Alligator mississippiensis: one gene and its partners. The protein of the gene in region 2 purifies or fractionates together with the protein of the main gene of each other region. This does not show direct contact. Links are inferred from orthologs where the notes say so. Each region holds a gene or a part of one and is shown on either strand. Other genes may lie near its edges. The genes, in order: SMAD3, SP1, STAT3 and RB1.

The links.
Region 1: the proteins of SP1 (region 2) and SMAD3 purify together in Homo sapiens (affinity purification with western blotting; 7 studies listed by BioGRID, with this or other methods). This does not show direct contact. The link is inferred for Alligator mississippiensis from reciprocal best matches to the Homo sapiens genes SP1 and SMAD3.
Region 3: the proteins of SP1 (region 2) and STAT3 purify together in Homo sapiens (affinity purification with western blotting; 4 studies listed by BioGRID and IntAct, with this or other methods). This does not show direct contact. The link is inferred for Alligator mississippiensis from reciprocal best matches to the Homo sapiens genes SP1 and STAT3.
Region 4: the proteins of SP1 (region 2) and RB1 purify together in Homo sapiens (affinity purification with western blotting; 3 studies listed by BioGRID). This does not show direct contact. The link is inferred for Alligator mississippiensis from reciprocal best matches to the Homo sapiens genes SP1 and RB1.

Annotation. Positions count from the first base shown.
Region 1 is NC_081834.1:4,232,715-4,239,756, forward strand, and holds the start of SMAD3 (mothers against decapentaplegic homolog 3), read right to left. Parts: upstream 3,013-7,042; 5' UTR 2,946-3,012; coding exon 2,740-2,945; intron 1-2,739. UniProt on the Homo sapiens protein: Receptor-regulated SMAD (R-SMAD) that is an intracellular signal transducer and transcriptional modulator activated by TGF-beta (transforming growth factor) and activin type 1 receptor kinases.
Region 2 is NC_081838.1:8,792,644-8,800,100, forward strand, and holds the start of SP1 (transcription factor Sp1), read right to left. Parts: upstream 3,003-7,457; 5' UTR 2,867-3,002; coding exon 2,860-2,866; intron 1,057-2,859; coding exon 953-1,056; intron 109-952; coding exon 1-108. UniProt on the Homo sapiens protein: Transcription factor that can activate or repress transcription in response to physiological and pathological stimuli.
Region 3 is NC_081827.1:162,181,345-162,189,195, reverse strand, and holds the start of STAT3 (signal transducer and activator of transcription 3), read right to left. Parts: upstream 3,008-7,851; 5' UTR 2,900-3,007; intron 1-2,899. UniProt on the Homo sapiens protein: Signal transducer and transcription activator that mediates cellular responses to interleukins, KITLG/SCF, LEP and other growth factors. Once activated, recruits coactivators, such as NCOA1 or MED1, to the promoter region of the target gene.
Region 4 is NC_081824.1:413,410,825-413,418,623, reverse strand, and holds the start of RB1 (retinoblastoma-associated protein), read right to left. Parts: upstream 3,009-7,799; 5' UTR 2,946-3,008; coding exon 2,839-2,945; intron 695-2,838; coding exon 577-694; intron 1-576. UniProt on the Homo sapiens protein: Tumor suppressor that is a key regulator of the G1/S transition of the cell cycle. The hypophosphorylated form binds transcription regulators of the E2F family, preventing transcription of E2F-responsive genes.

The DNA of each region.
Region 1 (7,042 bases), on a different chromosome or scaffold from region 2:
CATGGTTGAGGGGGTAAGACACCAACCCCACGAGGGATTGGGAGACCTTGGCTTACAGTTATGGCTCTGACACTAACCTGCTGTATAACCTTGAGCAAATCACTTCATCTATAAGACTCATCTTTACAGGGCAGGGACTGTCTTTTACCATGTTTGCAGCTAACCTACACCAGACTAGCCTGGGTATGGGCATTAGGTTTGATTGCAATAGAAGGATTAAATAACAGTAAAAGTGCATACTATTTTCAATACTTGAAGCTAGTGTCAGGTGACAAATAACTACTGCTAGAAGGGACCCATGGTGTCAGGTGTAATCAGGCAAAATTCCAGTTGATATCAAGGATTAAGGACTGAGGTTGGGGTCCATGTCATGAACAAATGAAAGATTTTAATTGCTGGGGGACTCTGTCTAGCAGACAGATTTCCAGGACAGAAAAAAAAAAATAAAGAAACAGCCATTCACTTTACACGGTAAACATTAGCTAGAGTGTCCTGGCAGTGTTCAGAGTTTGTGACATTTGCTTTTTTGATGTTACTTGCTTTTTTTTTTAAATGCATTCTCTCACACACCAAATGCTTCCTATGAATTACAACTTATTGAAAACAGCTTTCTACCCCTCTCAAAACACCCGTGTTCCTACCGAAGCACATTTTAGGTCATTTCATTCTCTGACTCTTCACAGGAGAGCAGCAGTGAGTCTTTGAAATCCAAAATACAAAAACACAAGTCACATCAGTGGTTGGACTTTTCAAAATCCCTTCCCCCCCCGCCCAAATTTGCAATACAGTAAAAAAAAACTTCCACAAAGAGCTTTGAATAGAGTGGATTTCACTGCTTATCAAGAGTTTCAGATACAGGCTAGAGGGTAGGCATGTCAGGCACGAGTTGTGCAGATACTAATCTCAGATTCAACCCTGAAAATCCAGAGTAACTCCAATGAGATCAATCTAGATTTAGTGACCAAAATCTAATTTAGTATTTATTGTTCACTGGAAAAAAAGAGTCATGAGAAGCTATTAAATGATCATTAAAATTCATGGTTGATGAAGCAGCCTTTTAAAAAAAAAATAAATAAATGAAAAAAAAAAATCAAGAGTTTCAAACTTTCCCAACATTTTAAAGCTATTTGTTTCACTGGTTCATGCAACAGATGCTGCTTTGTGTGTACTAGCCACTGCATATTAAATCATTCTGACAACCACGACAGCACACATTTGTGTATGACAGACAAAAAAAGCATGCATATATACACACAGAAGCATATAATTATACAGCATTAAAATATTTTGCATGAACTTTAGCCTTTGGGTAAAAAAAAAAAAAAAAAGCAGTGTTGTATTATTCCTCAAAATAATCAACAGTACTAAGAATGACAGTCATGTAAGTGAGCTTAGAGAAATAAAAAAACCCCAGAAACTTCAGTTATAAAATGTTCCTCCTTATGGCCACTTCTCAAATTCTGAGAAATGCTTGTGCTCTCCCACACGTTATAACGGACCTTGTGGGCACAACCGTGCCAAAAAAACCCTACAAGATTGCATAAATAATCTGCATGAAGTCAGTTATTTGATCCGTGCGATCCCTCACCTACCTACTAATCCCACTCAGCTGCATGAACGGCGTCCTTTTTTGGAACAAAATAATGAGCCTATAACCATGTAAATGTGCCAAGTAATATAACCTCATGTAATATAGCCATGTAGTGTGCAAAAAGATATAACCCAATGTAATATAGCCACATTAGTGTGCAAAATATAACCTAATGTAATAGTCACATTAGTGTGCAAGTGATATAACCTCATGTAATATAGCCACGTTAGTGTGCAAAATATAACCTCATGTAACATAGCCATGTAGTGCGTAAAAGTTATATAACCTCATGTAATATAGCCATGTAGCGTGCAAAAAGATATAACCTCATGTAATATAGCCACATTAGTGTGCAAAATATAACCTCATGTCATATAGTCACATTAGCGTGCAAAAGTGATATAACTGCATGTAATATAGCCACGTTAGTGTGCAAAATATAAGCTAATGTAACATAGCCACGTTAGTGTGCAAAAGTAATATGACCTAATGTAATATATAGCCATGTAGTGTGCAAAGTGATATAACCTCATGTAAGTCACATTAGTGTGCAAAAGTGATATAACCTCAGTGTGCAAAATATAACCTCATGTAATATGGCCATGTAGTGTGTAAAAGTGATATAACCTCATGTAATATAGCCACATTAGCGTGCAAAAGTGATATAATCTAATGTCATATAGCCACATTAGCGTGCAAAAGTGATATAACCGCATGTAATATAGCCACATTAGTGTGCAAAATACAACCTCATGCGATGTAGCCACATTAGCGTGCAAAGTAATACAGCCACAGTGTGCAAATATAGCCAAATGTCATATAGCCACATTAGCGTGCACAAGTAATATCACCTCATGTACTATAGCCATGTAGTGTGCGAAAGTAACGTAACGCCACAGTGTGCAAGTATACACAGCCAGATGTAATGGAGCCAGGTGAGTGTGCAAAGTAACGCAGCCCCACAGGGCGCAAAAGTTGTGCAGCCGAACGTAAGCGGGCCGGGCCGTGCGGGGCCGGGCCGTGCGGGGCCGTGCAGCCGCGGTGCCGGGGCAGGGCGATGCCGGCTGGGGGGAGGGGAACAAAGCGGGATCCCGCACTAAGTGCGCCCCGCACCGCACCCCGCCGGGCCGGGCCGGGCCGGGCCGTACCTGGGGATGGTGATGCACTTGGTGTTGATGCTCTGCGTGGTGATGGCCTTCTCCAGCTCGTCCAGCTGCCCCGTCTTCTTCAGCTTCTTCACCAGGCTCTTCACCGCCTTCTCGCACCACTTCTCCTCCTGCCCGTTCTGCTCGCCCTTCTTCCAGCCCAGCAGCCGCTTCACGATGGGGGGGGTGAAGGGCAGGATGGACGACATGCTGCCGGCCCCGCCGCCGCCGCCGCCACCACCGCCGCCGCCGACAACTTCGCCTCAGCTCGCCCGCCCGCCGCCGCCGCCGCTCCTGCAAATGGCCCGCGGCCGCCCCGCCCGGGAAGGAGGCGGGCAGGGCAGGGCAGGGGAGGGGAGGGGAGGAGAGGGGCCGCCACCAACCGCCGCCGCCTCCGCCTCCCCGCGCCGGGGCAGCCCCTCAGCCTCCGCCCGCGCACACGGGGCTGCCCTCCACACGCACACACACACACCCCTCCGCACCCTGCCCCGCGCCAGGAGCAAACATCCATTTCCCCTTCCCTCACACACACACACACACACGGGCACCTCTCCTCCCCTCACATACATCCATTTCCCCTTCACACACACACACACACGGGCACCTCTGCTCCCCTCACATACATCCATTTCCCCTTCACACACACACACACACATACACACACACACACGGGCACCTCTCCTCCCCTCACATACATCCATTTCCCCTTCACACACACACACACACACACACACACACACACACACACACACACACGGGCACCTCTCCTCCCCTCACATAAACGCACAGAGAAATGGGCACCTCTTCTCCTCTCCGCACACTGCTCCAGGCCAGGAGCAAACATCCATTTCCCCTTCCCTCACACACACACACACACACACACGGGCACCTCTCCTCCCCTCCAGGCGCAGCCCTCTCCTCTCCCCTCACACACACATGCACACTGACGTGGGCACCTCTTCTCCTCTCCGCACACTCCCCAAGTCCCAGAGCAAACGTCCATTTCCCTTTCCCTCACACACACACACACCCTGGGGGGACTGGTTCTGTCCTCCACGCCAGGGAGATTTGAGCCGAAAACAGCTTTAAAAGCAAGAAGCGGGCCCTGAAATCTTGCTGCAAAACGAGCCGCGTACAAGAGAGACTCGGGGGGTGCCACACTCGAGACCCTTTAGCTCAGAGATCAGGGCTCATGGTCGAGGCGGTGTCTTTTATGAAGCCAACTAGACATTTGCAGAAAAATTTCTTTCGTTGCAAGCTTTCGGGTGCACGCACCCTTCATCGGGCATCAGAGATGAGCTTGTAAACGTTCTCCTGGGGAGAAATGACAGTTTACATTGTATAGGAGTGTTGAAAGTGGTTAAAATCTGTCTGGAAAAGTTCATTTCATTTGCAGGTTAGGCTCAGAGAGAAGTTGGAAAGATCTGTTTCCCTCGAAGTTGTTTGTTGGTGAGCAGGATGTATTCATGTTTCCTTCTGGTGATGGTGTTTCATATTTCACAGAGGAGTAAAGCGGTGGGATGTTCCTCTGAGCACTAATTCAGAGAGGACACCACCTTTTATCAGACCAACTAAGACATCGCAAAAACAATGATCTTTTTCTGCAAGTGTTTGGGCATACACCCTTCCTCAAGCTCAGGGAGAATTAAAGAGGGTAAAAAGTCCCCGTAGGTAGAAAATAAACTTCATTTTTTGCACAGAGGAAGCTGAAAGTGGACATCTGTTCCTCTGGGTGCACGAGGGTGTCTTTGGGAGTTGCTTTCTGATGTGCAAATAAGGCAGGATTCATCCTTCCCTGGTGGAGACTTGGAAACTGCCGGGGCCTGGACCTGCAGAGAGAAAGCTCTCCAGATAAGAGCGTATCTTAACCCTAAAAAACCCCAAACAAGAGCTGTGTATGTTTTCCTGGCTGCTCCACAAGTCCTAGGTGGGCTACTGAGAGCCCCAGATTCCAGGGTCTGCAATTCTCCACTCAGCCAGGGTTTCCAGGCCCTAGAAAGCAGCCCTAATTTTGAGAGACCCATTTTTTGACTGCCCACATAGAGATGCTTTGAGAAGAGAGAGGCTACGTATCTGCAGATCGCACTGATGACATTTCTAGCAGTGGTTGTTCAATGCCTCTGAAAATCAGGCAAACATTTATTTCCTCTGGCTGTTCAGCCTACAGTTAGGTCACCGCAACTGTTCACCCCAAATGAGAGAGAACCGTCACTACTGCTAATGCTTGCAATGTTCGGCATTTTTTCTTAAAAGCCAAAGCACGTGAAATCAAATGATTTAGGCGAGAATCTCAGCTTTCGTTTAAAACGTTTCTTTCCTTAACAAGTTTGGAGAGGAACTTTAATACCGATCCAAATGTAACCTAAATGCTCAAAACCCAGAAGATACAAATAAAGAAGCCTGGTGGGTTATTATTATTTTTTTTAAATCTCAGGATTTTAAACCAAAAGGTAGATTCTGCAGAGGCTGTTTCTACTCTGTGCTGGAATGGGGCAGCAACTCAGAAAGAGAAGTGAAAAGTAACACTGAAGTCTCAACCCTGAACTGATAGTTTGTACTTTGGACTTAGATATCTAGTACGTTTCAAACAAGGCTCTCAAAATGTTCAACCAACGCTCACGGGCCAAGCTTCGCTGCGTTTACATGAGGTAGAGATATTATGATTATTATTTCACAGGAACAAATGGGTCAATTTAAACATGGGGCTGTTAGGTGCTTTTCCCAAATTAACAGTCAGTGGCAAAGCAGCAAATGAAGTCCAGCAATTCTAGCTCACATTTAACTTCTTCTCTTGTGCCGAGACACCCTGGATTTAATTCTGTCCAATTTACCCTAGTAGGTGCGTTGAACTCAGCGAGCCACATCCCAGATTACATCAGCATGGAGATCAGTACAGCTCAAAAGGGGAACAAATTTGGTAACAAGATGCAGCATTCATTTTTAAGATTAGGGACATTAAGTTTTATAGAACCACCTCTGGGAGTGCTTGGTTTACCTGTCAAAGGAGCTGTCCTGTGAAAACATGCCTTTCTGAACCCCCAGACAGTCTGTCTTTATTTCGGAGAGTTTTGGATACTCACACAATGGAAATATTAACAGACAGGAAAAGGATGGAACCATCCTAATTTTTCATGGTCTGGATCCCTTTTCTGGTTTATAAAAAGTCTGATGTCTTCGTGGCTACCTTCAGGCTAAATAAGCAATAAGCATAAATTTTTATAGCAATATAACTACTGCCTTCATCTTTTAAAATACACCTCATCTTTAGTATCCTTACCTATGTGACCATCCTTACGCATGTGACCTCTGCATGTTGAGTCTGGGACCATCTGGGACTCAATCTCATCCACTGAGATTTTGTTCCTACTGATATGTACAGTTATGGAGCCCACTTAAGAAACCAAAAATACTTTTATGGATAATGTGCATTACTCATACTTTTAATTACATGAATATATTGCCAGATCTAGTAAAAAACTAGTTTACGCGGCACGTTCATTAAATTAATAAGTTTAAACTTTACCTTCTAAAACAAGAAAACTGGGCTTTCAGTTGAGACAATACAGAATTAATCGTTAACACAAGGTGAAAACAAATTCCTTCTAAAGAGCCTGTGAACATACACAGAGATACACTAGTGCTGGGCATGCTTTTAATTGCTTGCAAGACCAAAGGACAGACTCTCTGCTCCACACTATTCTCTTTGTATTGCTCATGGTAAAAAAGGGAGCGGGAGAGTCCAAAGCAAGCGTAGAGCCAGCTCTCTCCATAGGGGTATGTCAGAACTGGCAGGCTGAAGTACCCTGACTATCCCTAACTGGCAGTGGTCCTTTGCAGAGCCATAGACATTGCCTTTACACTGCTCTAATGTGTACTTGGGGTTGTGACACAATCAGGGAGTGTTAAACATCTCATACCCCACCCCCACTTCTGTACCCAACTATTGAATTAGTAAGTCTAATTTCTGAAGTATAGCTATATACGTAAACAAGGTACTTTGGGTAGCTTCATAGATTGTAAGGCCAGAAGGGACCTCGGAAGATCATCGGGTCCAGCCCCATGCACCAAGCAGGAAAGATAACTGCAGTCAGGTGACCCCAGCAAGGGGACCGTACAGTCTCCCCTTGAAGACGTCCAGGGTAGGTGATTGCACCAACCTCTGGAGGGAGCTTATTCCAGTCTGGACACTAACTGTGAAGAAGTTTTTCCTAATGTTGAGCCTGAATCGATCTTCCAGGAGTTTGTGGCCATTCCTCCAGGTTTTCCCCTCGGGTGCCCTGGTGAACAGTTGCTCACTGAGCCCTTG
Region 2 (7,457 bases):
CTCGCCCGAGCCGCCTTGCTGGCTCTGGGAGCTGTTTGAGTTCTCATTGGGAGACTCAATCCTACTGCATGTGGCTGCCAGCAGAGCCAAGGGAGAAGGCTGGGATTCCTGACAAGCAGAGAAAGGAGGAGTTAATTCGCCAGAACTCGCCTAGTGGGCAGTGCGCATGAGAGCAAACAGGGAGGAGCTGCCGCCCACAAGATAAACACTCCTCAGTAACAAACACCCACCCACAGCCGGAAAGCACCCCAAGCAGACATGGGCCTGACAGGGCTTAGGGGTTTCTGAAAATAAAGTGTGGCTTTAAAACTATCTCTGCAGCTCAGCCCAAAGCAAGGGGGTTTCCCCTCTATGAACTGATATGTCCTAAGAGGAAGTGCTGCTGCTTCTAGACACCCATCTGAGTGCGTCCTCGATTATAAAGATGTGTTTAAAGCAGCAGCTGTGCTAAGTATTTCTGGAAGACCAAGGGTGCCGGATATGACCCTGGCGAGGCAGCCACTGCTCTTTGTAGGCTGTGTTCATACTGGAGGCACCAGAATGCTGTCCAGAACTGCTTTAGGCAATGTCTGTTGGGCATTTATATTCTTCTTTCCTCTCCCTGGGGTGAGAAGTGTGTGCAGTGGAGAGCTTGTTCAGGGATTTATTTAAGACTGTACATACAGGCTTACACACAGTAGCTCTAGTGTGTGTTAGAGAAGGGAGGTCAAGGAAGCAACCGGCAGCCCCAAACTTAAACCTCCTCTCTCTCAATGAGATTCCTAAGCTTGGCCGTCAGAGAGGTACTGGTCATGATGCTACCATAAGAAGTCCCAGGACTCAAATCAAACATTTCTGTGGGTTCACAGGGCATATTAGTACTTCAACAGGGCCCCTAAACAAGAGCAAAACATGGAGCTAGCCCCATTTGGACAGCTGTCCACTCCCCAACACATACCCATGCGCTGCTCACCTGACCCTCCCCATTGCCTTCACTGATGCTGTTGCTGCTGCTGTCACCACCTCCTTCTATTTTCTCAGACTTCACCACAGCCACTTCTTCGGGGCTCTCTTGGTCTGCAGAGCAGGGGGGAGAAAGGAGGTCAAGTGATAAGCAAAGCAAGAAAATGTTCACCAAAAAGAGAATGATGAGAGAGGCTGAACAGAGTGACACAGTGGGGGAAAGGAGATGTATCTTTGGTACATATTGGGAATGTGGGGGCGAACCCACAAAGAAACTTGTATACTCCCCACCCCCATTATTAGAAAGGGTCACTATGTGTGCTCCAACAGATTCTGGGGGACAAGTGAAAACAGGGTGGGTGGGAGTGCAGATCAAAGGTTAATGAATGACTGCTTCAAGGGGGGACACTGAGCACAGCACATCGCCCAGCACCTGCTGGCTGACCCATCAACAAGTCCAAGGAGGGGAAAGCAGACATAAAGGAGAAGGAAGAGCAGCAAGAGGGAAGGGTGGGAACGCAGAGTGGGTGGACAACACGGTAGGACCTGCCAAGGGCCAACTCCTTCCATTTTTGGGTACTTCAGGGCCACAAGAAGGGAAATGGGAAGATAAAGGGGGGGGGGGCGCTGGGACAATGGAGAGACTGTGGGAAAAGGGAGCTGAGGCTGGAGGGTGGCACAGAGGCCAGAGGGAGGACCGAGCTCCACTCCCCAACCCTCCTGTCAGTCCCTGCCTCCCCACCCAGCCCTACTCCACCACCCGCCTCAGGCCTCCTTCACTCCCACCCCACAGGAAATCCCTTTGCCCAGCAGCAATTCCAGCCTGTTCCCTTGGGACCTTGCCCAGGAGACTTCACCCTCCTCCCCCTCTTCCCTGGCACCTCCCTCGGCCCTGCCCTCAGATCTGGGTGGGGGTCAACCCCTCCCTGCCTCCCCCCAGCTCCCAGGGCAAGTGGGAGAGAAGAGCCCTTAGAGCTGCCCTCCCCCAACCCAGGGATCCTAGGGCCTTTGCCTCCCCCCACCTCAGAGCCCCCAGCACCCCCCCCATTACAGGGATCCCAGGCCCTTCCCCCATATTTGCCTTCTCTCTCATGGCCCCCCCCCTCAGGGATACCCCCATGACATCTGCTCCCCCATCCTCTCCCTTCAGGGATCCCAAGCCTTCCTCATGACACTTGCACCCCCCCCCAAATCATGGCCCTCAGCTCCCCCCTCACCGCCCTGTCAGAGCCCTCAGCCCCCCCCATATCCGTCCTCCTCATGACCCTCAGCCCCAGCCCCCTTACAAGGACCCCAGCCCCTTCCCCCATGATATTTGGCCCCTCCTCAGCGCCCCCCACCCCCCTGTCAGAGCCCCCAGCCCCTTCCCCCATGATATTTGCCCCCCCATCAGGAACCGCAGCCCCCTCCCCTCCCCTCAGGGATCCCAGGGTCTTCCCCCATATTTGCACCCCTCCTCATGACCCTCAGCCCGCGCCCACCCCGCTGTCAGAGCCCCCAGCCCCGTTACAGAGACCCCAGACCCTTCCCCTACGACATCTGGCCCCCTCCTCAGCCCCCCCACCCCTCTGTCAGAGCCTCCAGTCCCTTCCCCCGTAATATTTGCCCTCCCCCGCATCAAGGACCGCAGCCCCCTCCCCTCAGGGATCCCCGGGACTTTCCCCATGACGTTTCCCGCCCCCCCGCAAGGATCCCGGGCCTTCCCCCATATTTCCCCCCCTGCCGGGGGTCCCGGGCCTCCCCGCAGCGCCCCGCTCCACGAGGCCGCCCGCCGGCCCCTCCCCCGGGCCCTCCCCCGCCCGCAGCCCCCTCCCCCGGGGCCCTCCCCTCGGCGCGGGCGGCCGGGCCGGGCCGGGGCGGGGCGGGGCGGGGCAGGGCTGGGCCCCCTCCCCCGGGCCGGGGTGGTCCGGTCCGTACCGCTCATGGTGGCCGCGGGGGGGCGAGTCCAAGTCGCTGCCGGGGGAGGGGCGGAGGCCGGCGCGGTGACGAGGCAGCCTAACCCCGCCGGTGACCGCCAAAGGGCTGGCGAGGGAGGGAGCGGCGCGACGCGGCCCCGGCCCCGGGCCACGCCCCGCAGCCCGGCCGTGCCCAATCAGGAGCCGCGGAGCGGTAGCGGGGGCGGGACGCGCGGCGAGTGGCAAGCCGGCCCTCGAATGAGGAAGCGGGCGGAGCCTAGGAGGGAGGGGGAGAAGCCCGCCCGAATCCCCGGCCCTGAGATACGCCCCTTTGAACGGCTCCGCCCAATGAGGGAGGGGGGAAGGAGGGAGTGACGGAGGCGGCGGCCAATAGGAAGCCCGCGCAGCTCCCCCGGCGGGGGTGGGATGAGGGGGTGAGGCCCAAGGGTGAGTGACGTGATGGGCGGCCAATCGGCAGGCACGAGGGCTCCCAGGGAGACCCCGTAAGGGCGAGGCTGGGGGAAGCGTGGAAGGAGGCAGTGATTGACAGGCAGAACGACGAATCGCAGTTTAGGCGGGCTCCTAAGACAGCGCCTCGCGAGGAGGGGCGGGACGAAAATCAGATCGACGTCCAGCCTCCCCAATCAGTTGTCAAGCAGGCCCACGCCCGTTGACGTAAGGCAGGTCGGATTGGAGCTCGGCGTGCACAACGACCAATCAGAAGCCAGGCGACTGGTGAGGCTGCGGATCCCCGACCAATGGGAGAGGCGAGCCCCCTCAAACCGGCCAATGGGACGCGCGAGGAGGCGGGAGGCCTAGGCGGTGGATTACACGCTGGGAGGAGAGGCGGTGGGGAATGTGGCGGAGCGGCGCCATTTTAGCTCAGTCCCCGCCCACGCCCTTGAGGAGGTGCCTGCGACCCCCTCGTGCGCCCAAGCACCGCACGCGCGCACCGCCCTGCCACCACGTGTCGCCCAGCGGGGCCTGTCGCCACGTGGCCTCCCTCGGGCCAGGCCCTGCTCCCTGAAACCTGCGGAGACCCTGGACGAGGCCTCCTGCCGGATAGCTGAAGCCTTGGAAAATAAATCTAAATCTAAACTATCGCTAGAGATCATCATAATGTTTAAACGACCATTTTCGGGGCCCCTTTCGGTTCGCTCACGCCAGCGTCTGGCCCTAGGAACGGGTCAGCCCGCACCGCTGGCGTGCGGCACCCTGATGATTATTGCAATGGGTGGGTGCAAAACACATGCGGGGCTGGACTTTTGGAGGCGTTCGGAGCCGGGGTTTTGTGAGGACCCGACACGTCTCGTTGCGGCGGAGCCGGGAGCAGAACGATCCTGGCGGGGATGGAAAGTAAAATCCACCCCCCACCCCCCCGCCGCCCCATGCTGTTGATTTTGGAGACTGCTGGAGATCGAAAGGGCAGGGGTCAGAACTGCACTCGGATCTATCCCCCTCGGTCCCGGGCGTCCTTACGAGCAACGCCCAGTTGCCCTTTCTTTTCTCTCGCAGCAGCTGGAAAATTGTGCCGTCACCCAACACAACCGCCCTTTGCCTCCGACAGACCCGCTTCATTTTTTTCTCCTCGTTCCCCACTGCGTCCTGGCTGGCAGGTTTGGAGAGCTTTCATTGTGAAAACAACCGCCGTGGGTTTGTCAAGCAGGATTCCCTCCGAGCAAAACGCTCCAAGAGTGTTGTTATTGAGAGGGCTGCCGTATCAAAGAGCCCCCTCCCCCGTGGAGGAGAAGGCCCCTCTAGGGCTAGATACTTGCACAGACCCAAAGCAAAACCACATGCTCTTTGCCCGGAAAAGTCTGCAATCAACATGTGAGATCAGAGACATCAGGTGGCTGCCAGGAGCAGCTGGGCCGAAGGGGGAGTTACGGGAACTGCAGTTTCAGCCTGCCAGCTGCCTTCTGCTCCAGGTTTGGGAGCACCTGGGCAGAGGGAGGGATTAGGAGAAGGATGGGGGAGCCATCCTGGCTTTTCCAGGAAGCTCCTCCCATGCTTAACAGGAGGACACAAGGCTTGTTCAAGAGCGGAGTCAGGCCTGGATGGGAGCTCGCAGGTCAGCTTGTTTAGCCCCCTGCGTGTGTACTGGATGCGCTTGCGTAGCCTGCCCCAGACTCTCGCCCTCCCACGTCTCCTCCTAAAAAGTCCCTCTCGCATGTCTTGAGTTCAGCAGCACAGCACGTGCCTCCCCCTCCAGAGCCTCCGCATTTCAGAGGGAGTGTTGGTTCAAATCTGGCATCTGAGCCGCTCTCCACCCTGGGCTGGTGGGTGCGGCACGGATTCTGCTTTGGGGAAGGGAAGAAACATTTCAACCACGCTCTTTCCCACCGCCGCAAAGAGATGCTGCCTGCCTGACTGCCACTGCTTTCCAAATAAGAGCTCAGGGTGTTGACAGCATCCCCAGCCCCAAACCACCCCCAGCCAACACTGATGGCCCGCGGCACCAGGGACACAGCTGGAGCATCTGGAAGTCCTACTCTGGAACTCCTCCAAAGTCCTTGACTTTTGGAGCCGACCACCATGAGGCTGACTAGCTGGACAGCAAATCCAGCATCGTTCTGGATAACATCCTTCAAACCAGCTGTGTCCTGGGCGGCCTGACTGCCTTCCATAACATCCTCTGTTATTAGCATGATAGATAATTAGTGCCGAGAAAAGGAGGGCAGCAGTCAACCGGGTAGGAGGGGAAGTCACGAGGCAGCAGCCTCTTCCCAGCCTCGTGGCATGGCTTGGGGAGCTCATGGCACGTCTGCGCCTCAGTTTCCCCCATCTGTGGAACGGGAAAGTCACCTGGGTCTTGCCTGCTGCAGGCACCATAGCTAACAGTGAGGAGGGGGAAGTCCTGGCCCATCACTGACGTGGCACCTCACTCCTCTTTTGCCCTCCTGATCATGCCTCGTGCCCTCCCTGACTGACCAGCTCTGCCTGCAAAGGTCTGTGCCATAGACATGACCAACACCCACCCTCCTACACAGATATGGACCAGTCAGTGATGGGGACAGGGTGGCCTGGATCCTATTCCCAGGTGATCTCGGACAAGTCCTTGCCTCAGTTTACCTGTCTGAGAAGGGGGGCAATGCCGCTGACCCCTTCTGCACAGCACTGTGGCTGTCAAGCCTGGCGGGGAGGGGGTTCTATTTTTATAGCTGATCTGCAGCATCATCCCCATTAGCAAATGCAGCGCAGGGGCAGAGACTGGCAGGTTCCCTCCCCCACCCCTGGGAGGGAGCCACCTGCCTCCCCAGGCTTAGAAAATCCAGCCTGTCCCTTTAAATCCCAGCGCAATGGGTTGCCACAAAGGCAGACAACAAAGCCATGTGGAGCCAGTCCATCCCCTCCTTCCTGGGCCGGCCCCTGGGCTGGGCTGGGCTGGAGGATGGGCCAGCTGGGCTCTTTGATAGGCAGGAGCCAGCACTGGTGCCATTCACCGGGCTTTGCTACTCTGGGTTGACCTCAGCAGGGCCCTCCTCCTCCTCCTCTGCAACAGAAGGGAAACTGAGGCACAGAGAGGGTCAGCAGCTCCCTACCTCGCCTCCCCTGGAGCTGAGAAAACACAGGAGTCCTCACTCTCAGTCTCCCCCCACAGTAGGATCCAGGCCACCCTGTCCCCATCACTGACTGGTCCATGTCTGTGCAGGAGGGTGGGTGCCAGGGGGTCATGTCTATGCCCGCGACCCCCGCCACTGATCCAGCGGCCCTTCCCAGCGCTGAGAGGTGAACCCGGGAGTCCTGAATCCCAGGCACTAACCACTAGCCCACCCTCCCTCCAAGCTGATCTGCAGCCTGCCCTGCTGCTGGTCGATGGCAGAGCCCTGCAGCCTGTGAATGAGCCAGGAGCTGTTCAAAGAGGGCCCTGGCTGGGGTGAGCTGGCTGCTGGCAGCTGCTGGGCCCTGGCCAGCCAAGCCAGGCAGGGAGGGGGGGAGCCCCAGCCTTCCTGCAGCCTTATCTGCTTCTGCAGCCTATGGGTGTGGAGCCCTCGCCCTCAGCTAACCCTTCCTCCCTTCTAGGCCCCCCCACAGGCTCCCTCCCTGCCCCTGCTCCAGCCCCCCCCACCCCCCAATGCTCTGCTAGAGAGAATCAGAGCCAGAGGCAACAAGCCAGATCCCGAGGAGAGGAGTGAGGAGGGGGCAAAGGTTGCTTTAAACAAGGCAGGGACAGAGCCAGGAAGAGAACCCAGGAGTCCTGATGTCTGCTTCCCCCACGCCACCAATAAATATTAGACCCTCCCATGGTAGAACTGGGAACAAAACCCGGGAGTTCGAGTATTCAGTGTCCCCACCCCATAAATGAGATGGCACCCCCCATCCCAGAGCTGGGAATACAATCCAGGAGTCCTATCCCCTGCTGGCTGCCGCCTGCCAGTGCTTCCACCGGGACAGGCTCCCTCTGCCCTATGCCGGAGGTGCCACAGGGGGTTGGAGGAGTGGCATGGGGTTGGATCAGGCCCATAGCTCTCCTCCCCACCCCCTCGCCTAGCATACCGGATCCAGCACCTGCCCCCACCTGCCTGGGACCTATGCTGCTCATGGGGGTCCCAGACTGGCTGGAGCAGGCAGTAGTCCCAGAGCTGCCGGGGCGGGCGCCATGTATGGCACGTGACCTGG
Region 3 (7,851 bases), on a different chromosome or scaffold from region 2:
ATATGCAGCCCATTGGTCACCTCCATCTCTGGCTCAAGTATGCTTCCAGGATCCTTACCAACCCTGAGCTCTCCCTCCCATAACAGCATGCAAAAGCAACAACTTCTACCCTCTCCAGCTGGCTGGGAGACTCCATTCCATAGAAGGAGACAGGAACCTGGCCTCAGTTATTCACACCTTCATCACCTCTTGTCAGAACTGCAGCCATGTGCAAAAGTCCTGCAGGGCTTGGGATACTTCAACAAGTACAGAGGCTGCAGCCCTTCTCTTCTGCAGAAACTGTCATACCCGATCTCTGCACCTGGCATTGGCTTCCCAGAGAATTCCAAACCACATTCAGGGTCTCAATCCTTACCTTCAAGGCTCTTAGAGACCAAGGCCAGGCTAGCCTAGTCAAAAGACCAACTACAGTTCCAGGATGAAGACAGTGGTTGGTGCATTCACTCTGGCACTAAAGGTTAAAAGTACATCCATGCACTCAGAAGATCTCTGGTTGCTAGTGAGAGACTACATGGCAAACTCCCCCAGGACCTTCTACTGTCTGTTTCAAGTGCCCTTTTTTGGTCCTATGCGCTGTAACATGCATACATGTACACATATATACAAGTGCAAAGCTAGAACATCCCACACACTTCTCCCCCTTGGGAGGTGAAAGAATGCATACATGACAGATGTTAGCCACATGTCTTTATGCAATTCTCAGACATAATGGTGCTCAGCTCAGCAGTACCAGAACCAATGTAGAAAGCACTAGCCTGAAGCTTGGAAGGCTACGGTTCAATTCCTTACTTTGTCACGGATCCTTTTTATGACCCTGGGCATATCACTCTTCTATAAAGTGGTGGGCAAGTTGCATTGAAGATTATGTGATACAGATACAGTGACTAAAAGGCCCTGGGAAATACTTAGGTAACCTCTGGCACAGCTGCTCTGTATTACTACCTACTGATGTGAAACGGAGACCTTGAGTTTTACTTATAACACCAGTCAGTTCTCTTTATATAAACTACTACAAAACCACTGTCTGGTCCAGGCAATGAAGCCCATGTTGCACAAGAGACTCTCTCTAACCGGAAGACTTTGGAGCAGTTGCATCAAGCAACAGGAAAATATGCAAGCCAGAGTTCACACCTGTCTCAGAAACACGAATCAGTTCACCAACCTTGGTTTGACCAAACACAGAACCACAAGTTTCTGGTTTTCAGTCTTCATTACAAGTAAACTCAATATCACAGCAATTTTAATCTAAGATCTGGTATTGGACCAATGCCTGTAAGGAACGGTTCTGCAGCTTATGCTCTGTGTTCTTTAGGTGCTCTAATAGAAATCCTTGTCCTCAGTCATTTCTAAATTTGTGGGATAAGGATCATTTCATGGTTAAAACTCTGAGAAGTACACACATCTGCTTGGGAACTAAATCCCAGGATCCAATATAAACTAATAATCCTGATGTTTTGGTTTCTTGAATTTTTCCTACATTTATCCATAGATTCCTGCTCTGAAAAGGCATTTTAGACTCAAGTCTCTTAGTGTTACATTTTAAAAATGCATTCAGCAATAGAAGTATGTTCACTGAATTAAACAAGGCCATTTTATACTCCTGCTTGCATAGAAGAGATGATATTTGCAGGACACACAAGACCTTATAGTTTTAATCTTTACAGACATTTTTGTCAGCAGCAACCAGTCCACCCCAATAACAACTCCTGCCAAGCTCAAACTTATAATAATTTTATTAGGTGTGAGAAGGAAACAAATCTCTTTTGCAAAAGAAATGCCAGGTGGGGGCATTCATTTCTCCTCTTAAAGTTTCTGATCCCACGCCCTTTAGAAGCAATGGCAACGTTCTGCCCAATTCTCGGAGAGGACTGGCACATCTGCAGGCAGTAGAACAATGGGAGGCTTCTCTCCTCCGCAGTGCTTGCGGTACTAATTAATGCCACAGGATTGTCTACTGAGGGAGAGCTAGAAATTGGAAACTGACTAACAACAAAAACGAAACTGATGACTCTTTTCTTGAGCCAGGTTATCTGAACTACAAACATAAACACCGTTGTTAGAAAAAAAAAAAAAAAGAAGCTTTTCAAGATCCATGCTACTGGGAATAGGGTTTTCTAAAAACTCTCTTCAGCCTCAGCTATCCATGCTACTGGACTCCAAACAGTGCAGGGGATTGGCAATTTGGGAGTGCTGGCAGTGAAGTTTTGTAGACATGAAACACCCTGTTTTACTGAAACTGCTGTGCAAACAGACACTGGCTGGGTCATCATAAACAACTCTCAGCAGGGTCATAATCCAACCAGCAATTTCAAAGCCTGGAAAGGCTGCAAGGAGCCTGAGAGCAGCTCAGGAGGAAGAGCACCAAGATAGAGTCCGCAAAGGCCTGGAAGCCAAGATTCACAAGGAAGGCTCTCCACTGACACCCAGCAATGGCAACAGGTGCATCTGCCTGTACCCCATGTGCAACCTTCCTCCTCGGGCCCCTGCCCAGATCCAGGGACAAGAGATGGCACAAGCACTGGCACAGACAGAGCTCCCTAATGGTGGCGGCACCCGATTCCTGCCAACCACAAATGCAGCTGCACCATGCCAGCGTCCCAGATGACCTGATACAAGACGTGACGGATGTGCGAGAGGGGACCAGATCCGGTTGCCACAGGCATCACCACCAGATTTCCTAGCTCCAGGGCATTTAAATCTGCCAACCACAGCCCTCACTTTCTGCAGGGCCCACAGGCCTGGCTCCCCTGGGCCGGGAGCCTGGAAATGCTCCAAGCCACCCTGCATGCCACCCAGCACCCACGCCCAGCGGCTGCCAAAGCCCCCTGGAAGGGGCACCCACTCGTGCCCCAGCACCCCGGGCACTGCCCCCCCGGAGGCCAGGCTCGGCTCGGCTCACCTGCGGGGAAGGGCTCCCGGGCCGGGCCGGGGACGGCGGCTCCGGCTCCCTGCGGCAAGCGGGGATCTGATCCCTCCGCGGATGACGCGAGACCTGCCACTCTAATAGCCCCGCCCCCTCGACCCTAACGTCACAATCGTCCTAGCCAATGGCTTCCCGGGTGAGCTCAGGATTCGCGGGGGACGGGCCTCCCCAGCCAATCAGCGCCTCCAGTCCCTCCTGGTTCTTTCATTAATCAGGAAGGCGCCGGCGCGTGCCCCCTGGCGGCTGTTCCGGGTGGGGGACGCACCTCCCACCGCGCGGCCGAGCCAGTGGAAAGGAGAGGCCAGGGCTCGCGGCGGGCGGAACGGCGACTGCCGGGAACTTCTGTGCTGGAAACTCAGCTGAGTTCCGGGCAGCACTCTGACGTCAGCGCAGCCGGGGCTGTTTCTGCTGCCGCCTCTTAAAGGGCCAGAGCAGCCGAGCCAAGCGGGGGCGGGGGGCACGTAGAGCCCCTCACCCCGCGCCCTGGGATGCTGCGGCTCATCCCGCCGCGCTGGTCCCACCCATCCCGTTGACCTGCACGGGGGTGTGGACCCACACACGCACATGCATATACACACGTGTACACATGCACACGCACACAAATATACACCTGCGCACGCGCGCACACATTTACACATAGGCGGACAAGTTTCTCTGGGTAGATGTGATCTCTTTTATCAGACCAACTGTTCTTTGCAACCTGCCAGGCCCAAGCACCCTTCTTCAGGCATAGAGCGAGTCTGCTCTGCTGGTGTGTGTCTGCTCCCCTGGGTAGAACAGGAGCCAATATGCAAAATGCAGGTCTGTGAAAATATAGGTGGGAATGGGGGACAATAGGTGAGAGACAGGTTGGGGGTGGGGGAGAAAGAACCTAGCTGGTAAAATGCAGACAGGCTACCTGGGTGGGCGGGGGCGGGGGGGATGTAATACACACGTGCCGCAATGGCTCATACGATTCACATGCCCTAACCAACAGAGGCATTTGCCTCGGGTCCATGAACATACTGGGCATCTTGCCCCATTCCAGAACAGCCAAGTTGGAGATTTTGTCATGCCATGTTATGCCCAGGATACAACAGAGACATCAAAGATGGAAACTTGTTTTCTTTTTTCCTTAGCATAAGAAGTCCATGTTTCGCCAATAGAGAGCTAAGTACACATGTATACACACGTGTAGACATACACATATGTCTGTACATACACATATGCATACTCACACATACACACTTGTTGCTGTTCATCCTTTGAATTTGAAAATGACCAAGACATCACTGGTTGGTTTGGTTTCTGTGAACACGTGAATGGCTGATCAGGCCAATTTGTGCTTAGAACGGTCTATGCCAGTGGTTCTCAACTTTTTTGTACCAGGGCCCATTTGTAAACATTGATGGCCAGTCCCAACCCACTGCCCCTCACTCCTGACCCACTACCCCCAGGCCCCAGCCCTTCAGTGTGTAGGGCAAAGGGGAGGTGGGATCCAAACAGCCCCTTGCAGGCTAGAACTCCTCCAGCCTGCAGGGGAAAAGCCACCGTTTCCCCATGTTTTTCTCCTTTAATGGAGAATCCATTTTAAAAAGTTCATTAATCCATTTTTAAGGTTTGTTTGTGACTCTTTCATACATTCTTGTGACCCACAGGTTGAGAAACACTGGTCTATGGCAGACTGAGCAAGAGATGCCCCTTTGGGTTGCTTGCTGCTGTTGTGAGATTTACGCTGTTTGCACTTTTCTGCCTCAGCAGTTCTCCGCTCATAGACAGTAGCTCCAGTATGGACGAGGCTTCACCAGGTGGAACGATCATGAGCAAAATCTTCCCAAGATTTTGGGTCAATGTTGAAATGTTTCAAGGATGACTTGAGGGAGTCCTTGAAGCATTTGTTCTGGAGAGCTCTTTCCCTCCTTCAGCTCACTGTGAAAGATCTTTGGCAGTTGCTCATCTGATATCCTGGCAACACAGCTAGCCCATCTCAACTGTAATTTCATCAACAGAATGTGGATGCTTAGAATGGCTGCCCATGTAAGAACCTCAGTGTCTGGGACCTTGTCTTGCCATCTTATCCTCATCAGTTTCCTCAGACAGCCCATGTGAAAGTAATTCAGCTTCATAGCATGGCATCTGTACATCATCCAAGTTTTGCATGCATACATCAGGATTGGCAACATAATGGCTCTGTAGATCTTCAGTTTTGTTTGTTGACCGATGCCTCTGGACTCCCACACATTTACATGTAGTCGCTGAAGGCCATGGTTGCTTTAGCAATTCTGGCATTTGTTTCATCAGTGATGTGAAGCATATGTGACAGTGTACTTCTGAGATAAGTGAATTTGTCCACTGCCTGGAGGATTTGGCTATTCATTGTGATGGTAGACTCTACACATGGCTTTCCTGGTGCAGGTTGGTGTATCACTTCTCTTCAGCTTGTGAGATTTGGTCTCACAATCAACACTAAGACGACAGAAGTAGTCCATACTTCACTGCATGTCAGACTCAGATTTGGTATTCATGGAACAGTCATTAGCAAACAGAAGATCACAGTCACTTCCTGTAAGTTTGTTTTCACCTGTAGTCTCCTTAGATTGAAGATCTTGCTATCAGTCCAGTATCTGATGTCAATCAGAGCATCACAGTCACGAACGGCATCTGTAAGCACAGCAGAGAAAATCATACTGAAGAGGATTGGGGCTAACACACTGCCCTGCTCAACTCCATTGGCTCAGATGACTCACCGGCATCCACAACAAGAGCAAGCATGCCATCATGGCACTGCCAAACCATTGCAATGAATTTCTCCGGGCATCTAAATTTTGCCATGATCTTCCAAAGGCCTTCCCAATTGACTGTATCAAATGCTTTTGTCAGGTCAATGAAAGTCATGTACAGGTTTCAGGAAAGGACACAGAACCATAGACATAGTGTTTGCATCTTCTCATATACACATGCACACACATGTATACATGCACACATACACGTAGCCGTACATGCATGCATAGACACACACATATAGACATGCACATACTTAAATGCATGCATATACATATGTATGAACATATATAGATGCATACACACGTACGCACACATATGCACACATACCTACACATATGTATACACACCTGTTCACATGCACATACATACATATACAAACAGGTCACACAAACACATGCACAACGGCATATACACACATACACATAGATGCATATACACATACATACATACTTACATACACATATATATTGTATATACATACATAGACGTGTCCACACATGCATATACATACACACACATGCATATTGGGGCAGACCTAGGATTTTGAAGAAGAGGGTGCGGTGAGGTCCATCACCTCATATAAAAACAATACATTTTTCTCTAGTTAAAAAGAAACTAGGGGCACCTATACATGTGCAGGCTGCTCCTATGTATTGTAATTACAGTGCATCAGAGCAGACTCGATTAATTGAGTCTGCTGGAGCATGGCAATTACTATGCTCCAGCAGACTCCAGCATCTTGTGTATTAGCATCCGCATGCTGAAAAACGGTGGGGGGGGCATTGTAACTAAAGCTTGTTCGACACGCTTTGAAGTGCCCCTGCCAACATTTTTCAGCATCGGGATGCTGATATACGAGATGTTCAGGGCATGTTAATTAGAGTGGCTCTTGGAGCAGCTCTAATTAAAACACCTCCCCCCACTCCCAGAGCACATGTATAAACACCCAAGAAGCTTTACTACTATGCTAGGGGCCTAGGCTGTACTATTCAGTTGAAGTTTGAAGCAAAAAAAATATATAACTTCATTGGAATGGAGTTAAAAACAAGCAGTCTGCAGGTTTTGTGAAATAGGGGTTTCCTGACCAGGAACAGCTAACAGACAGCACAATTGCAAGACACAGGCTACCTTGGTTGGTGGAACATCAAGACCACTAAAAAGAAAAGAGGGTCATTAATACCTGTGGGGTGTAGAGGTTAGAGGGGATCAGGTACATGATGATAAGATATGCAGTCAAGTAACTCCCTCAGCACTACCTGACTAGAAATGCTGCTGCCATTGCCAGGCACTTGGTTTTAAGCTTTGGGTGGACCAGAAATCAAAGCAGGTACAAGTGCACCCTTCTGGATCTGCCCCTGTATGTATACATACACACATATCTATGCTGGTTAGTCTATAAAGTATAAACATACCCCACCCTCTACTTAACTTCAGACTAATAGGTCTAACTATGTCTCTATATCAGCGTAACTGGCAGCCTGGTGCCCCCAAAGCAGAGATGACTCTCCTGCCCTGGCTGTTGCTTTTAGTGGTCTCAGGGATTGCTGGCCTGCCTGTGACGTACAGGGCTGCTCAGCAAAGGCCATGAGATGTGGGCGACTCATTGAGTGCCATGGAGGCTAGGGAGGAGGTATTCACACGGGGTATGACTCTGCAGTAGTGGAAGCAAGGCATTGCACCTCTTGCTGTGCAGGAGGCATTGCCCCCTTAGGAGTGTCTCAGCCAGTCCAAACAATAATCCTCAAACAGGCTTGAGTGCCTGTGGCCCTGCTGCCTGGCTTTGCTCCCCTCAGTCATTCCTCATCACAGATGCATTAATCCTTAGACCAACAAACAAATAAATAAGTAAATCAAACTGTCAACCTTTCTCCAGGCAGCAAGAGAGGGCCCTGTAACTAGCACTTCCCAGAAGTGCACTATTCTGGGTTTCAGTCTGTTATCTACCCATCAGCTGTTCCTTCCCCCAACTTGAGCTGCTTGCCCTCTCCCTGCTTGGGCTTTTAATTCCCAGTTTATCCTTTACAGCTGGGCTCCTATCCCAGGGCTGGCTGCCCTACTTAAAAGGTGAGACTGCCCACTGTTACAGGTAGGTTAGAGACTTCTGTGTAATTTGGCTAGTACTGGGAAAGCTAGGTATGTTCTACTTGCAAGAGCCTTGCTAGTTT
Region 4 (7,799 bases), on a different chromosome or scaffold from region 2:
CAGATTGCAAGCCCCACTCAAAGCATGAATAAATGCTGTGTTGAGGACACGGGTGTGTATCCTGTACTGATCTTTGTGCTGTCATTGCTATACCACTATCAATGCCTAAGACAGCTATTTTAAAATTAATCTCAGGTATGCCTACAAATGCTTGTCATACCTTTCACTGCAGTGTAGACACAGTGTTGCACACATACACTCAGTACCATAAAATTATGTAAAATAAACAGTAGTCAGGACAGTTGGACAGCCAGCACAGCATTTAAAACCAGCACTATTTTTTTTATATATATAGAAGCAGTTTTTCTATATAGAAATAAAGGGGGACTATGCATTTTACTATATACAGTCATGAATACAACAGCATTTGTACATTTTGACTTGGGTAAAAATTTTCATTAGAAAAGTGATGTGGCAACATTTGAGTTCTCAGACTTAATTCTGAATCATTTGCTTCCCAGAATGGCTGTAAAAATATGTCAAGTCAAGCAAAGACATTAATATAATACTTGGAATCAAAGAATAGGTACCACTACTACAATATTATCATGAGCATTAGCTATACCGAGTACTCACTAGAGATCCAACCACAGATGACACTTTTTCATATGTCTTCCACGCACTTGTTCTTATGACATCCGAAACTTTTAAAATGTCACAAAGTGCAACAAAATCTGCTTCTCCAAACTCAACCCTAGCAAGAGAAGAGAAAAAAATAGTATTAGGCCAGTATGTGCCACCAGATAAGGGATTACTTCTCTGACAAGCTTACTAAGTATTAAAAATTAGATGTGCGGATCGAGACAATAGTTTGTCACATCTACAGCTAATTTCACAGAACATCTTACCAAAACAAAACAAAAAGTTAGGAACATTGCCACACACATGCAGAAATGTGAATAACCTGTTTATTCTGCAAAACTGTCTGCAAGGCTCAAACCTGTCAATCATTTAACATCAGAGATTCTGGACTGAAGGATGCAAGATGGAAAGGATTTAGAAAAAAGCCTGAACAAGGAAAATTCTCTCTGCAGCAAAAAAAATAAAATCAATCAACTCAGAAACAGGGTTAAGGTGTGAATTGATCATGAGCTACATGTATCTTTGGCAATCAGTCTAGCAAAGAAAATGTAAAACAAGTTCCAGTTAAGGGGAGTTGGATGGTACAGATCTAGATTAGAAATAAGGCCCAATTTTTTTACACTGAGGTTAATTAACCACTGAATAACTTACCAAAGAACATGGTAGATTTTTTATTACTAGCCATTTTAAAATGAAAACTAGCGTTTCAGAAATATTTTGCTCAAACAAGAATTCAGGAAAATCCTACAGCTCACATGACATAGGGCAGACTCAAGAGGTGATCTGCCACGTTAAGTCAGGCAGAAGCTAGGCCAAGGTGACACCTTAGAGACTAATTCAGTGAGACATGAGCTTTCATAGGGTCCTGCTGCCCCTTCAAATTAAAGCTGGACAGAAACCAGCTATACAATTGTTACACATTTTCAAGTACTAACTTTATAGCTGATTGGCTCGTTTATAGCTCAACAGTCCTTTTTTACAGTGATAATTCCTTTGCACATGTGGCTGGTCTTAATTTACTGTATGCTTAACCAGTTAACTGTATGAGAATTATGTTGCATGTATGGCCAGCCTACATGCATTATAAGATTCACCAGTTAACTGTTTAATATATGTAATGTGTAGTAGGGGCCACAAGCAACAACCCACTTTGTTTGAGGCAGTAAATGGGCTGCCAGAAATAAATTATTTTATATAGAAGGAAAAGGGACAAGGGGAAAAAAGAAATCTTTTGTCAGATGCTATGAATGGACTTGCAGAAAAGAGCAGGTTTTTGCCTACGCAAGGTCATGCATTCCCAAGCTAGGCCAGGCTAGATCAGTGGTTCTCAAGGAGAGTTTTTTTAGCCACACACCCCACCTCAGGAAATGCCAGCTCTCCAGTTTCACTTGGGGGCTTTTTGGGTGCAGAAAAATATTAGAGCAATTATTCTGTTGCAAAAAGCTCAACAAGTCCTGTGTCCGTCGTTCCCCACCACCCCGGGGCTGAATGGTACTTCCCATATTTCTGGGCTTTGCTAGTTGCTCCCACTACCACTGTGTTGGTGTTTTTAAACCTGCCACAGAGGCATTGAGTGTTGGCTGCAGCCAGGGCTGGGGACTTTCACTGGGATGTGCCAAGGCTCCTGCTAGGAATCAAGTCAGAGGTTCCTGGCTAGAGGGTCTTGCCCCTCCAAGGGCTCAGGGTCACACCAACTGCCAGATTTGGGCATAGGAAGGCGTTTTAGCCCATGATCAGACTGACATGGACTGTGCGGGTTTCTGGCTTCCAGAGTGGCAGGGTCGTGGGTACCCCGAGCGCATCCCCACAGCAGCAGGACATTGGCTGCAGGGCTTACCCCATGGCATGAGAGAGTGTTTGGTCTGTATGCCATCACGGTGGAGGGCAGCACTAAGGAGAGCCCGGACAGGGACAAGGCCACCTCGGGGCAGGGAGCTGGAGCTCCCTTCCAGCCCCATGTCTCCCTGGCTTAACATACAGATTCCTATTCAAGTCCCGTGGCGCGGGAGGGGTGGGGGGGATTATTTTACAAATCTCTACAAAGCTACAAGTCTCCCCCAAGACCTGGGGCGGCCTGGGGAGACCCCGCACTCTCGCACCCTGCAGAGTTTCCTCCGCCCTCCAAGCAGCGGCCCAGAGACACCGCGGCGGGCGGCCCCCCCGCTCCGCTTCTCCCCGTGCCGCCCCGGGGCAGACCCGCCGCAGCAGAGGGGATGCTGTCCCCTCCCCCGGCCGCGCTGGGCGGGCGGGGCTCACCTGGGGGCGGCGGGCGGGGGCTCGGCGGGGGCCGCGCCGCGATCCGGGCTGGCGCGTTGCCCCCTAACGGCGGCGGCAGCACCCCTGCGCGGGGGCCTGGGCGCCATGTCGAGCGGCGCCGCCGGTGCCGCCGTTTAAAGAGCCGCGGAGGACACTGCGCGGCCGAGCCGGGAAACCGCGGGAAAGCACGTCAGCCAGCCCCACCCACACTCATAGTCACTTCCGGCTCGCGGAGCCCGGGGAGTCTACAAATGGGCGGGGCTGAGGGGAAGTGGCCAAGATTCCGGAAGCAGCGGGTGCTGATCACGTCATGCTTCGCACGAGCGGCGCAGCCAATGAGCTCGGCCGAGCGCTCGCCAATGCTGGCCAATAGAGAGCTGTCCCGGTGACGGGCTCTAGCTTAGTCATTCCCTCGCCGGCAGGGGCGGGGCTGCTCGTGTCATCCAGGGGCGGGCGCAGGGATTAGGGAGGGCGGGTGCTGGGCATCGCGTCGCTGGGTGTTTCTCCAGGCAAAAATGAACCTGGTAGCAGGCTCGGGGCTCTGGGCTGGTTTGGGCAGTCTGGAATTAAAGCAGAAATGAATATACTGTACAGGTTCCCATCGTCTTATGCTGTACATACGCTCCTGGAAAACCTCCCATCCTGCCAGCTGGCCTCTCCAGGGAAGGAATTCTACCTGCTCAAGGCATCAAAATGCTACTCAACACAGCTCACCAAGGCACTCTCATGGACCCCGAGGGTCAGCCTTCCATCTTCAGCTCCATCTGTGCAAAAATGAAGTTTATTTCCTACTCATGGGGAGTTTTTACCATCTTGTACCATCTACACTTTTCCCAGAGCCTGACGAAGGGACTTTGATCCCAAAAGCTTGCAAAAAAGGACAATTTTCTTACCTTTTATTAGACCAACTGGAAAATGGCATCATTCTGGAACAAGGAGTTCTAGTTTTTTGTATGTCCTCCTGTAAAACGACTCATAACTCAAATTTTCATTTGCATAAAGGGAACCCACTTTACAATGTAACAAATAGGAATACATTCCAAGACCTTGACTGTACTGATCCCCCAACTCATTTCTACCACTTTTACTAGTCAATTTTCGTACTCACCAACAGCAGGCAGTACATGCAAGCACAGGGTAGGGGTGAATGTTACCATAATGGGGATGGCACCTACAGAAACACTTGTTGGAGGCAGTGAGCAAGGCATGCAGATCCACACGGGAAACTGTATTTTGGTCCACATCAGTCCCTTAATGCAACGCACAAAGCAGCTGACTGCAGGCTTCCACCACACCGATCACGTAAGAGTGAATTTACCTCACATATAACAAATTTTTGGTCTAAAAGGGTCATTGCATAAGAGCAAATTCGCACATACACAACCTGCATACAAGGAGGGAAACCTGTAGTTGCTAGAAAATGAGACTAGGTTCCCCTGCTTCCCCTCCCCCATGCCCCCAGCATGAGGGGAAAGCCCCTTCTCTTATATTCCTTTAGAAGTGTAGCAGGGCTGCAGCTCTGACCCTGGCCCTGAGCCTAGGTTGGGGACAGAGTCAGACCCATAGCAGCAACAGCATTGCCAGGTGTACGATAATATATTGGTATGATAATTTTAAGCCTTCCAGTTCTCACTCACTCACTCGCTCACTGGAGAGTTACATTGAGCAATATAAAGTAAATAAGAAGAAGATGTATTTGCATACTTCTTTCAGTATACAATAATTTTTCAGAAAATACAATAATTTGAGCTTCCAATATGATAATTTCATATTTAAGGCCTGGCAACACTGCACAGCAGCCTCCTGCCTCCTCCACTTGTCCTCTGCAGTTGCCTTCCCTTCCCCATTGCTCTCAAGTGCAGCTAGGCTCTGGCTAGGACTAGAGGGGTCTCTCCTGGGCACAGAGCCAATGGAAACTCCTTCCCCTTCCTGGCCAATGAGCAGCGCCAAAGCTGCAGCTTGGCCAGGCAAGGACTGGTGCTTCCATGTGCTGTCATCCAGGAGGGAGCAGCCCAAGCAGCATATGGGGGTGGGGGGAGGGAAAGAGGCAGAGACTGGAGTGCAGGTGTTACATAAATTGCCAACTGTTCAAATCACCAGCGATGCCTTATGAGGGCGATAAGGCAAAGAACCATGTTTATTGATTAAGTGCTTAATACACACATACACACCCCACATTCATACCCAATTTCTGTTCTGTGCTGGTATATATTATCAGTCTTATCGGTGCTCAGATCAACTTAGTGGCCAGCCAAGTTAATCCAATCAGGAGTCATGCTTTTTCCAGTACATCTCATCAGACAAACCGAAGCTTCAGGCTGACATGCAGAATAATACCCAAAATCAATATATCTCGCCCCATTTTTATAGCTTTGTCAATTCCTTCAGTCCTCTGGGCTTTAGCTAGGTTATCACTGTGTTCTTTCTTGAAGGTTGATTGCCATTGTTCTCTCACTGTTCTGGGGCAGATTCATCTTGTTTGGTCGTTTATTAGTCTGAATTCTTCAGCCAGTCGCTAGCTGATGTTTTCCTATTCCACAAACATATTCTTACACATACAGCATACAAAGAGTAAGAGGTCAACCACTTATGTCAAGCTACAGAGCAATACAAAACAGAGTTTCTTAAGGAAATTAAAACCTCAAGAAAATACATAAGATTAAAAGCAATACGCAAAAGTCTATTTCCATGTTATTTACCTAACATCAAGCTGGTATTTATGCTATTTGTATAACATTCCTTTCTTGGATCCTTTAAAACATTTTGTTTTGAATGGATCACTTTATAATTTTTGCAAGGCTATATATTGTAAAGCAATTAAAGTATGTGATTTTAATTTAATACATTTGTTTTATTTAACAACATATACAACGTATTACAATCAGCACTATTTTAGTTAGTATAAAGAAGATGATAATAGAATGTAACATAACATTTAGGACCACTATTTATGATGGTGATTATTCCTTGAAAATAGTTTACCTATGGTGTATTATTATTTGTTTAGCTTGTTTAGATACTTTTAGAGTTTTTTAACCTTGGTGTAAAATAGTTACAGTACACAGTTGATTTTGTTTTTGTGTTGTAGTAGTAAGATGTTTTGTGAATTTGTGAATTTGTATGTTTTGTAACCAATAATTTAAGGTAGTTTAATTGATTTTTAAAGAGAAATGGAAATTAATTAAATTATTTTATGTTTAGGGGTGATTTTTTTAAGATGCTTGTGCAATTTAAAATGCTTAAAAGAAAAGTAATAAAAACATAATAAGCTGATAAGTTTTAATAAAGCAATAAGCAAAGCTAAGTTAAAATATTTGGGGTTCCTGCCATGCAGCTTTTAGCATTCTATGCAGCTTTTATATATGTCTCTTGCAAAGAATCACTTCACAGAGAACTGGCAATCATCAAATACATCAAGACAGTGTTAGAACAACAAGAATCATAGCAGCGAGACACTCCACAGCTAGGCTTGGAGATGCACATGGACTGGATTAAATACCTTCTGGGTTTGCATTTTATGTGGAATGCTAACAATCATAAGTACCACAGCCAGCCACATGTTGTTAATACACAATATTGTAAAGAGGAAAATCAAGTACAGAACGAACTATTTTGGATGAAAAACAGTCCTTCAGTTATAGGGTAAATAATTATTTAATCATTTCATATTACTGTGACAGTGAAGCTGTAGCACTTTCTTTCTACTTCTGTTTTTAGGAAATCTTTTCTACTCAAATTAGAAGAGCTGTCCATAGTTAAAAGTCTAGAAGTGCACATATCAATAGTTCTCAACCTTTTTAGATTCAAGGCACCTCTTGATGGCACCCCACTGGAGGCACCCCACTGGAGGCACCCCTCAGAAAATGCTAGCTCCTAGTTTTCTCTCAATTTTTGACTATGGACAAATACTAGATCTATTCTCCTGTTGCCAAGAACTCAGAAAGACCACAGCTGGTCAGAATGTTTTAAACATTATGGAATCCTATTTGAAATTTCTGGGTTTATCTTGTGAACCATGTTTGCACAATTAACAGTGGTAACATTGCATGGCACTCTGCAGCACACTTAAAATGATGTCAAAACTCCTCAAGATGCCTCAGCACCCTGGTTGAGAATCACTAGTATATATCATATGCAGTTAAAAGGATTTAGGATAGCAAGTTAAAATCCTAAACTGCAGCTCATTCTGGAGCCCATTTTCAGGAATGACTTTAGGAATGCAAAAGAATTTGAAATGAGCAAAACATCACAGAAAATTTTGTTCCAGACATTAGGGATCTTTACAGCTGTCAACAAGTTGAACAAATAAAAACACACACACTTTCTTTCTCCCAGCAAAGCCTCCCTAGGCAGCTGCTGTAGTGTTTTATAGTACCACCTTAGCTCATTTATGTGACAGGCAAAAAGTCTGGGTCCTCCTTGTACCCCTTTCTATAGCACTGCCTAGGGAGCAAGCTTTTTATCTTATCACAGAGTTCCTAAGAGTTATCTGTTGAACTCCATGGGAACAGTATTTTGTTTAGAATTAGACAGGTATTAAGGGTCAGATTCAAAGGCAAACTTCAGTGGTTAAAGTCTGCCTCTGCCCTGTTTTAGGAACTGAAGTCCAAAATGTGATTCCAAAAAAACCCCCCAAAAAACAAAACCAAAAAACTCAGCTCAGCAGCTCCTTAAATTTGCTAAGCCCTCTTTGGCCAGAATGTTCCCTAAGTGTCTGCAGTTCTGCTTTTTGTACCTGCCCGAACTGCCCCAGTCTGAGCAACTCACCATCTAGCTCCAACCAAAGCTTCAATGAAATCTATAAACTAGAGGGAGTGGCACCCAAGTTCCTTGAGCAAACCATTCTGATATGCAGGCTTTGAGTCTTCTTAACACATCAGTAGCATTATGTTGAACACAAAGCACAGCCATCACAGCCATTTTCATTCAGAAATACAAGAGATAGGAGTGAGGTACCTGCC